Linked DNA regions of Drosophila melanogaster. The protein of the gene in region 1 interacts with the protein of each later gene in a pairwise test. Each region holds a gene or a part of one and is shown in the gene's direction. Other genes may lie near its edges. The genes, in order: CG3078, CG8677 and CG13458.

Region 1 (3,754 bases):
CGAAGTCCAATGAAGCATTCGCCTACCGCCGTTGGCTGTACTCATTTCAAAGTAAGTGGACGTCGGCAACTGGGGATCCCATTTCATTCCATTATTTCCAGGTGCCGATGCTATTGACTGGCCCAATGAGATCGGGATATGCGAAAGGGCCGCCGATAGATGCGCCAGCAACTATCACGCCTGGTCGCACCGCCAGTGGATCCTTCAGAACGGCCCATGCCTGCTGCAATCGGAACTGCTACGCACGGAGAAGTTTATGCGGAAGCACATCAGTGACTACAGCTGCTACCACTACCGCCAAGTGCTCCTGAGTCGTGCATATGAGCTCAGTTTTGCCCTTCCCAAGGATTCCGGAGCCAGTGGTTCGTCTACGTTGGCCAGTCTGCAGCATCTAATGACAAGCTATGGCCTGGAATGTGAAGCCAACGCTGAGGATCTGCTGGGTCTCTTGCTACCACATGTGGATCTGAGTTCCGTGAGCAAGCAAAGGCTAATATCATTTCTTTACTGCTGCAACGTTGCCGCCAACGATATGCGTCTGTGTGCCGAGCAGCGCTTGATGTACGGATCGCGGGATTGCTTCGAGCTGCATCGCCGTGCGGCACTCAAGTTCATCGTGGAGCAGTGCGTGCGCCTGCAAATGGGCTTGCCCAATGGCCAACTGTTACCAGTGGCGTCAGGCGATCTGCGTTCGCATTTGGGCAACTTTGACTTTGAAGATAATCCGTTTTTAAGTGCCGTACGGCGCGAGGAGTCCACCCTGGGTGGTAAGCACCGGCGGTGGTGCAATCTTCACCTCAGCTTTGGATATCCAGCGGACTAGACAGCGCGACCTGATAAAGCTCAAATCAATCTACCCCAATAGAATTACTCACTCCCGGCCTTTCCGTTTGCCCATCCGTTCTGAAATGTGGCAAGTGTATAAAGACGTGTGTTTTATTTCCTATCTAATTATCGTCCCAAAAATACAGAAACTTGTGCAAGACAAATTGTTAAAGAGTAAAATACTAGAAAGGAAGACGATTCAAAACGGATTTGGAAACGGAAATGCCTCTATTCTACTCTACTATAAATGTGCGATCCAAAGACAAAGTTCAACTAGCCCGATATGACAACGGATCTCACTGGTCCGCCAATTGCATTTCGATATCTATTAGCGTTACCTGTTCGTTTCTGTTCTTAATCTGATCCGGGCACGATTTGTTAGCCCTTTGTTCAGAAGTAAAACTTAACCGATTATCGCCATGCCATGCACGTGTTTGTTGTTAGCCAATTGCAGTTAGTTTTTAAATAAATCCAAATCATAGACGACGCCTTTTTTATGCAGTTTTGAACGTCGAGCCAGTTCGGCTCGTTCATTTCGAGAATATCGATTCGGTAATGGCCGTAATGAGCACTCAAAATGCATTGTATGGGGGTTTCTTTTGCGCAGAGCAGTTGTAATATGGGATGGTATCGTTTTGTGGCGGTGCAGCCACAGCCATGACATCCCATCCCTTCCCCGAGTGAACTGGGGATTGTGGGGTAACGAGTATCGATTGCGCATGCCTGGGATGCGAGGTGGGATGTGCGAGATGCTGCCGAAGGCCTGAGATGACAACAATTTCAGCAGCGGACTCAGAATCGCCAGGCCGTAATCCCTACCAGCTTTTCAGTGTGTTTCTGGAGCAGTTCGCGTGCGGCGGTGTTTTGTGGAGTGTTGAGTGGCGAAAGTGCTGGCTTCTTTGAAGGCTTACAAACAATTTGTTTCCGACTCGTCGAAAAAAAGTGCATTCCAGTCAACCGAGAAATCAAAAGTAATAAACAAAGTATATTATTCGATTTTTTTTTTTAGTTTGCTGAACGGGGTTCCGTTTGTGGATACATGTGTACAGGCCAAGAGGATTTCAAGGGAGCATTGCATCGAGAGTGTGTGTGCGCTTTTCTGTGCCCGTCTTTGTTTGGTTTTAAAATATTCATATTCGTTTTCCATCCGCCCTCTTTGCATTTTTTATAACTCCCACCCACTTTTCCTGGCCCAAGGGGCGTGGGCCCAAAACTACGCCTCCATCGCAGTTCACTTCATGGGTGTGTGGTGTTCGTGAGGGGTGGGGGTTAGTTTATGATGTTTATGAGTTGATTATGGGCTGCAAAGTACTGTGCCATTGTCTTCGGGACCTGTTCCCTCCGGGCATCCCCAGGATCTTGTCCTGCACCATCCCGTCGTGTCCTGGAAATATACCTCGGAATACCTGACCCTGGGGCACCATCGGCTGCACATGTGTAGATAACACAAAATGGACACACCTGATGATTTTGTGCCAGTGTGGGGGGTGGGGTGTGTGTGCGAAGTTCCTACGGCCAAGGGAGCTATACTCGCGGCTGCACTAATAGCAGCGGCTAATAGGCACATTATTGAGTTGCCAAGTAATCCTACTAGTGGAAACTCAATCTAATTGGTGAGCATTAAGGTGCCACTTCCTTAGGACTTCAATCAGATTAGGATTAGCTAGCCTAGAAGCTTATTATTCCCACCATCCTATTTTTGCGACCGCGAGTGCCAGTGAATGTGCCAGAATGTAGTGAGTAAGTAACGGTAACGGCAACGGAAAGAACATGTGCGCATACGTAGGGCCTATGGCCCACATAAGTATGCAGTGCACGTACGGCCAGGTGTATGTGTGTGTGTGTGCGAGTAACGGTTTCCAGGTGCAGGTGTCAACTCGATAAGCAGCCGATAGATGGCGCTGCCGTTCAGGCCTCGCAACTTTTTCATTTCCTGTTTCCACTTCACAGTCATTCCGCTGCAGGAGAACAATATTTGCGTTTTGACACAGCCTTATACGCGGAATTGGGGGCGTGGCAGGTCGGCGGCGGACAATGAACCCGCCTACGCAGCAAGGACAATAATTGCAGACTGGATTGGAATGGGATGCCCGTGGAGCAGCAGCATGAGTTCGCCGTTTTGGAGCGATGGCAGTACTGGATTCGCAGTGGCCCCACAATCCACATAACTCGCACTACGGGCGCTAGGTTTTGATAAGTTGGCAATAATCGCCGGAAATGGGCAGTCTGCCGAATCTTCACGAGCTGGAGGAGGCGGAGCGCAAGCGGGAGAAGCGACGGGAGTACGAACTTCTGCTGGAGCAGCGGGCTCGGGACACCAGTCGCGAGCGGGAGCGTCTCTCCGCGTTTGCTCAGCAGCGCAAGGTGAGATCGCCTGAGTAGATCCCCCCTCCTTACGACTTATGTATTTTTCTACTCCACTCAGCAATCGTCGTATAATGCTTACATAATGGCTGGTCTGGGGATTGGTGGCGGATCCTTGAGCCTCAATGCCACCTCAGGAACTGCAACAGGCAACGGAGAGCTGCTCGGTGGCAATGGGACAACTGGCGGAAAGGGTCCGAACCAGGCAGTGGGCCCAGCTTCTGGATTGGCCACCAGCTCGGGAGCTCCGGTGGCCACCAGTGGCTTTGCGATGCTGGGACTGGGCAAGAAGTATGCCCCACACTCACACCACCATCAGCATCAGCACCAGCATCAGCACCAGCACCAGCACCATCAGCACCGCCATTCGCTGACCACCAGGCACAGAGTGCTTCGAACCCGCAGTTCAGGAGGAGCCCAGAACGTCTGGGAAGAGCAGATGATGGAGGTGAGTTCTCAGGTGAACACATAAAAAGTCCGCCTCTGTGTGAAAAGCCTTTATATAATTCATGTCACTTGCTTTCCGGCATGGTGACACCTGTCGCATATAAATAGAATCTGGGAG
Region 2 (3,754 bases), on another chromosome or scaffold:
CCAATTGTTTGACTTGCGTTTTCGCGTACATTCACCCGTGCTTGATTTGTTACTGATTGGAAATCTCTCTTTTGCTTTGTTTGAGCTATGACAAATTTTTCAGATTATATTCTTTTCGATTCGATTTTCACCACAAATAGTCATATTGATGTTTGCGTTTCTTTCTAAGGCTTGCTCGCACTTCTTCCCTCACCCTGTTCTTGGATGACATCAACGTACCGTGCAATAGCGAAACTGGTTAATTAAGCTCGAGATTAAGGCTGCGTTGATAGCTACAGTGCGCTCCCGCCAGATTGACCCCCTTTGTTTCTTGTCATTTTATTTCATCCTTATCGCTCCGCACTTTCATTTGTTCCTTAGTCATCAGCTGTTGCGCATAAACAATTGATTGTGCGCCAATTGTGCGAGTGTTGGTGTCCCGCACAGTGGCCATCAGAATGGAAATACTGCTAAATCGGTCGCTTGTTGGCCACTGACAGTGTACCGAGTTCGGTTCCCAGCCCCCTCCCGAAACGGGAAAGGCATTCCAAAATGTTAGATGAATGCATGCTATTGTAATTGGAACTGCTTGTTTGCATGTTCTAATAAACTACACACACACACGACACGAAAAATGACGCCAATTCACGCTTACCCACAGACACACTAACGATCCCCGTCCACCTTCCCCACAGCAGCTGTTTTCGCCTTATTTACCCGTCTCATTTGTCGATTTTTGTGTCTCAATTGTTTGCCACTTTTCGCTTTGGTGACCTTCCGGGATTTAAGGATTTAAGCACAGATGTCGCTACTTACGTAAAGTCCTGGTTGAAGTTCATTTGATATGTGGTCATTGCTGCTGAAGATTTGTGCTTTGGTGATTGTATTTTTTTTATATAGTTACACTTTCACTGGTCTTTAGATGCTTTTTTTCAGCGATATTCAGTTGCAGAGTCCCGTCGTTTGAGTACACAAGATATTGATCGACGATGGCAGATGAGCAAAGCGAAATGATTTCACTTGATATTGAAAACTAAATTCGACTGTTTTGCGTCGTCTTTGTTGTTTTGCTGCGACTGTTTTTCTCGTTCTATCTATCAACAAATTCCCCCTACACACAACACACACACACATAAATCATCATCATTGGAACTGGGTTCGGGAACTGAACCAGCCGTGTTCACCAAATGCCATATATACCGTTAAATCATTTGTGTAACGGAAAATGTAAAATTGTTATTAAAAATTGAAATGGACAATATATATACATGTATCCGCATATATTTGCATTGGAAAAATCATAAAATTACCTCATATTTCACACAATTACAGTGCATTTAGTGTGTATATGTCAGTTTCATTTCTTTTTATATAAACATTAAAATAGTTTTTTCCAATAAGTATCTACAATTATCTAAGTGTTGTGTCAAATTTTCTATCAAATCGGAACAAAACAGTGGACGTGTTAAGCTTCTTATAAGGTTCTTCTGTCTTAGCAAAATTGTATTTCCCATAATGTATTTCCCTACTTCAACTTGATCTACACTAAAACTTTATACCTTTTGTTCCTAATTTATATTATAACCTATATTGTTCGTCGATTTAATAAATTTTGCATAGCCTATTTAATAGTAAAACAATTTTTAGATTTGTAACATTTAATACACATTTCATAGTCTAGCGCTAACTTAAAAATAAAACTGTCTTAACGCGAATCTGAGTAAGTTATAAATGTATTCGTAGTTTGTAAAAATCGTTTTCATGCATACGCCAAGTATACTAGAAACTAGTTCCCCAGTGCATCGACTGCCAACTCGCTTCAATTACATGGGTGCAATCTGCAGTATTGTCGAAAAGTGACTGCGCGGCCACACTGAAACTCACAACAGAAAATAAAGCATTTTCGCTTGCTTTAAAATAGGATTTTATCCCGTACAAGAGCTGTCTCGCGGCAAGAAATATGCACCCTCGAAGTCTCGCAGTGCCGTGCGACCAGAGAACTTGATCCTTGGACAAATGACTCGTGTTTGCAGTGCCCGTTTTGAGGTTTTGCCAGAGTAGTATACAACACCCGAAAATTTTCGCTGGTTCTCGGGGACGCATGAAAAATGGCGGCGTCCTCAGCTGCGGCTGCGGCGCCCACCAATCCGATCCCGCTTCCGACGGACTCCATATCGGAGGAGTGCAAGGACGACGACGCCCTCACCTCCACGCTGCACACATGCGCCAATGATCCGGACTTTGCGGTCATTTGCGCCTTCCTGCAAAAATTCGGCAAGGACCTGGGTCTTAACCTGCCCAACTTCAAGCATCTGCAGGAGTGGTTGACAAACAACAACGATGGTGAGAGGGTGGGGTGGTGGTATCAAGAGAGCGGGGTGGAAGCAGTTTTTTGCCAAATTAATTTATGTCAGGTTCAATTATCGTGGGGCAAGTGGCGGTGGAAACTACGGATGTAGTGTTTTCGAATAGGTCTGCTCCAGAGATTTAACAATGCTCCGCTCTGGAGAGCGTGCTTGGCTCGTCAGAGAGAAAGAGATTGCTCAATGGCAGAGAGAGCACTGCGATTTGTTTTCATCTCAACACAAGCGCAATATACAAAACAAATCTGGGAGAGACGTAAATATTTCCCACATTTGCTCTGGTCTTCTTATTTGAGAGATAGTAAGAGAGCTACAATTGAACACTAAAAGTTGGTTTTTTTTTTTTAATGTACACCTGCATCTGGAAATATATTAAATATTTAGGGTCACGAGTGGGAGGGAACCTGAAAATATATTTGTTTAAAAAAGTTATAATCATGCTAAGTTTCTACGTTTTGTATGTATTTGCGTGAGCAACAGCAGACACAAAAAGTGTACACTACAACAAACGCGGTTGCATTTATTTCACTTGCCCTCATAATCCACCCACAATCCATTTATATTCCGCTGTCACTTTCTTCCTTTTCGCAGAACTTTTACTAATATTTAATTATAACGAATCTTTGTAGTTCCTGAGCTAAGGGACTTGCACATAAAGCTGCTCCGTAAGACCCGTAAGACGGTTCACGAAAAGAGTTGGGAGTCCGCCCTCAGCAAATTCTGCTTCGGCTACTCGGTGCAAGATGCCTGGGAAATCGAACGTTTCGGTTATAGGAATTCCAGCTTGAAGGTTAAGCTGCGAATATTTCGGGTGAGTAACGAATTTCGTACCACTTGATAAACCGTTCTAAAGGGCGTCTTTCCCGTACAGGAACTTCTCGAAAGTCAGTTTGAACGCAATGCCAAGTTTCGGGCCCACATCCTCACCTTGAATGCCGATACTTTACGCTCTGAGCCAATTGGAAGGGACCGGTTGGGACATGCCTACTGGCTGACTCAGGATGCCCACTGTAATCTGCGGATCTACCAGGAGCATCTAGACGAGGAAATTTGGCAGGTGGTTGCCACGAACAGGGACGAGTTTGTAAATCTCATTTCAAGGCTGCGCGGAAATGAGGTGGTACTTCCTTCGAAGGACATTGGTGAGGCCGATGAGGACACCAGCAGCAGCAACAGTTGTCATCCCAAACCACCGCCCCCCGAACAGAAAGAAGAAGAGGACGATGAGGAAGTTGGAGATGAGCCCGAAAAAACTGTACCCAATCTAAAGATTAAACTCCGCTCTCCCGAGCAAGAGGATCAAAAGTCTAAAAAGGTTAAGGTGTGTATGGATTTAACCAAGGAGCTTTGCATTTTTAGATAAGATTTCATTCTCGGTCTTTCAGCCACTGCTCATTAGCCAGGCCAAACTT
Region 3 (3,754 bases), on another chromosome or scaffold:
TGGTCTTTATCGAGTCGTGCCTGCTGGAGGAGGAAACTTTGCATTCTGAGCCGAGCAAGTACCACAAGGAGTGGCAGAAGCTATGCGATAGCCATGGCATCCTAGTCCCCGGTGGATTCGGTTCCCGTGGAATGGAGGGCAAGATTCGTGCATGCCAATGGGCGCGAGAGAATCAAAAGCCATTGCTTGGCATCTGCTTGGGTCTGCAAGCGGCGGTCATTGAATTCGCACGAAATAAACTTGGTCTCAAGGATGCAAACACCACAGAAATCGATCCGAACACAGCTAATGCCTTGGTCATCGATATGCCAGAGCATCACACGGGTCAATTGGGCGGCACTATGCGCTTGGGCAAGCGAATAACTGTTTTCTCTGATGGTCCTAGTGTCATTCGCCAGTTGTATGGCAATCCGAAAAGCGTGCAGGAGCGTCATCGGCATCGTTACGAGGTTAATCCCAAATACGTGCATCTGCTGGAAGAGCAAGGCATGCGATTTGTGGGCACCGACGTCGACAAAACTAGGATGGAAATCATTGAGCTCAGCGGTCATCCCTACTTTGTTGCCACCCAATATCATCCAGAGTACTTGTCGCGGCCTCTGAAGCCGTCGCCTCCTTTCCTCGGCCTGATCCTGGCCTCAGTGGATCGATTGAACCAATATATTCAGCGCGGTTGCCGCCTGTCGCCCCGCCAGCTATCCGACGCATCCTCGGATGAGGAGGACAGTGTTGTGGGCTTGGCCGGAGCAACAAAATCGCTGAGCTCCTTGAAAATTCCCATTACACCCACAAATGGAATATCAAAAAGTTGCAATGGTAGCATAAGCACTTCCGACAGCGAAGGTGCCTGCGGAGGCGTTGATCCTACCAATGGCCATAAGTAAACTAGTGAACGGTATCTTATATCCTAAAGTGTTTAACATCCGATTATCAGACGTACTTTTGTTATCGCAAAACCCCAAAAGTTTGGGATAACTTAAGTATTACTGGGTGGGTATAATACGGTATTTGCGAATTGAAAATTTTGACCTTTTATGAAAGAGGCATTAATAATAAGAAACCCTTTATAATTTCTCCTAAGCTTAAGTAAACTACGATGTTACTTTCCGTACATTTTTAATTTATATGAAAATCTTAATTCATATATATTTTTTGGATGCGAAAAAAAAAATAACTAATGGAACAATTTCAAATGTTTGTGTTTTATTTTGAACTTAGCGGGCAGCAAGAACGGTATTGGAAATAGTGCGTGGAAAGTAAATGTGTGCTATTTCTCTCTTTTCAAATTGGGCGCGAAATTTCGAAATTGGAATTGAAACATGCTAAATAAGCTTATTTGTTTCCGAATTTATGGAAAAATCGCTTTTCAAGATATCCATACCAATTGTTATGATTTTGTTCACACATAAACTATTGGAATACTTTGAAAACAATTGTTGCTTCTATTTTTAACGACAGTTCCATCAATACTTTTTGGCAACTGATACCTTATTAAAAAACTGACTGTTTTTTCTAAATTCTTACAAATATATTAAGGGATTATGTATAATCCCTTTTCTGCCAAGAACTATATTTTTAAAGAGCACCACAGAGTGGACTTCAGTGTAATTTTCTGCTTGTTGACGCAATTAGTTGAGATAGGCAGAGAATTAATCAAACGCTGGTACTCGAGAATAATAATGGACGCTAGCCCATGCGAATTGAGATTCGTATGCGGGATGCGGATTCAGATACCGGCTGGCGTTGTCAGACATCGTCAGGCCCGTGCCCAACAAAAATAGCCAGGGCATACATTTGGGCTTGCGGCCGCGATGAGAAGCGATGGCTAGCGGCCAATTGAATCGAGGCGGACCGCAAGACTCCCAACCAAGAACAATGCGCATTCTTCATTGTTCGTTCAATTGAGCAACGTGCTCTGGCTAATTTTGCACTCGAAATAAGAGAAACGCAGCTAACATGATTCAGTCGGGGGTCCACAAAAAGAAGCCAAGGATTCGGAATCGCCAGCGCAACAAGATCAACCAGGTGCCACAGGATCAAGGGGAATCTCCAGACGCAATTGCGTCTTCACTCAAAAGTAATGGCTCAAAAGCGGCAAATGGTGTAGAAAGTAAACCTCCGGTGGAAAAGCCCTTACTTACAAGTGGAAATTCTCTGCTTGAATCATTATCAAAAATTGGTCAAGTGGAAAATCCGCAAGAGAACGATACAATCCGGCTGATACAGCAACTGTTACGTAGGAAATTATTGGCCAAAAATAGTGCTGTGCCATCCAGCGAAAATAAGCCATCAACTGATCCGGTCAAAATAGTTACCCAACCAAAGGAAATCAAAAGTGAAGAAAAGAAACCAAAGATTTCGAGTACCTCGGTTACTCCAAAACTCAAAACAGAAGCCAAGGCATCTGGAATTTCAAAAGAAGAGGAAATAAATGATCTACTCAAATGCTTGGGCAGCAAACTGCCAAAGGGTAATTAGATAATCATTAGGAAGTATATACAATTCAACATAACTAAAATATGCTTGATAGGATCTGGTGAATCCCCAGCAGCCGCGTTATTCAGCAATCTTGGAAAGCTTTTCAGCCAAGCGCCGCCCAGCGATGTCGAGTCATCCGATGAGGAAGTGGAGGAGTATGTGGAGTACATCTATAAGCCAAGGCAATATTTTATGGCCTCACTGTGCAATGTAGGTAGTATTCATTACAAACTGTGCTTAATTGCTGAAGGGACTATAGTTTAAAACTTCTACATTTGTATACCCTACACTCCTAAAGGAAAAGGGCATAATAGATTCGTTGAAAAGTATGTAACAGGTAAAATGGTTTCTTGCCAGTTTCTATCGATATGCTCATTAATGGTGGCATTCCCGCTAGATGAGTAATGGGTATCTGATAGTCGAGGAAGTTGGCTATAGCGTACTCTCCTATTTCTATATACAAATGTAAAGGGCGCATTAATAAGATTTTTTTACAATTTTATTTTACTAAGCCTTTTATAATACTTGCAGTTCTGCAAGTCGGATCTGTGCGGCCAGAATCGGATACCCTGCTCCCGCTGTGGACTGAGCTACTACTGCAGCAGTGGGCACATGAAAGACGACCAGGAGCACCGCCAGCTGTGCTACGCCCTGCGCCAGACGGTGGACCGCAATGGTGAGTGTCTTTCGGCGATTCACAAATTCATAAATCACACTAATTGCCAATTTTGGATGGGGCGGATGCAGGTCACGAGATGTTCTACAAGTGCGGCGACTTCAGTGACGAACAGTTCCGTTCCTTCCGGATCGTGTGCATTCGCCAGGTGGAGAAGGAGATGAATCGTCAGCTCAGCGCAACGGAGAGAGAGTTGCTCCTATTTCCACTGATCTGCGCCGACTCAAAGTGCCGGGAGCATCGCTTTAAACGTCTATCCATGTGCGGTGGATGTGGCGAGGTGGCTTTCTGCAAGGATAAGCCGGAGCACCGAGGCAAGGAGCACGCCAAGTGGTGTGGAGCCTATCAGATTTTCAAGGCCTTCATCATGTTTCAGGAACAGTTCGGCCGCATGGAGCCATCACTGCCCAGTAAGATTCTTAGAGAGCTGCCCATGGCTTGCTCCAACACCAAGCAGATGATGAAGAAGCTAAGCTTTAGTAAGTAAACACGAAGTATTCAAGGATTTTATTATAATGTATTATTATACTGATTTAAAGATGTTACCAATGAGTGTGAGTACGCAGCACTTACCCAGGTGTCCACTGGCCCATTAACTGC

Evidence for each region.
Region 2: the proteins of CG3078 (region 1) and CG8677 interact in a two-hybrid assay, tested with the Drosophila melanogaster proteins (one large-scale study listed by BioGRID).
Region 3: the proteins of CG3078 (region 1) and CG13458 interact in a two-hybrid assay, tested with the Drosophila melanogaster proteins (one large-scale study listed by BioGRID).

The regions. Positions count from the first base shown.
Region 1 is NC_004354.4:2,257,763-2,261,516, reverse strand, and holds the start of CG3078 (uncharacterized protein), read left to right. Parts: upstream 1-1,653; 5' UTR 1,654-1,796; intron 1,797-2,775; 5' UTR 2,776-3,042; coding exon 3,043-3,189; intron 3,190-3,250; coding exon 3,251-3,637; intron 3,638-3,754. Other genes in the region: temp (tempura), read left to right, coding at 1-51, 102-823.
Region 2 is NT_033779.5:21,219,465-21,223,218, forward strand, and holds the start of CG8677 (uncharacterized protein), read left to right. Parts: upstream 1-1,847; 5' UTR 1,848-2,087; coding exon 2,088-2,322; intron 2,323-2,971; coding exon 2,972-3,153; intron 3,154-3,213; coding exon 3,214-3,663; intron 3,664-3,727; coding exon 3,728-3,754. Other genes in the region: Atg18b (Autophagy-related 18b), read right to left, coding at 796-833.
Region 3 is NT_037436.4:15,111,814-15,115,567, forward strand, and holds the start of CG13458 (uncharacterized protein), read left to right. Parts: upstream 1-1,743; 5' UTR 1,744-1,956; coding exon 1,957-2,470; intron 2,471-2,530; coding exon 2,531-2,688; intron 2,689-3,009; coding exon 3,010-3,154; intron 3,155-3,225; coding exon 3,226-3,633; intron 3,634-3,693; coding exon 3,694-3,754. Other genes in the region: Ctps (CTP synthase), read left to right, coding at 1-884.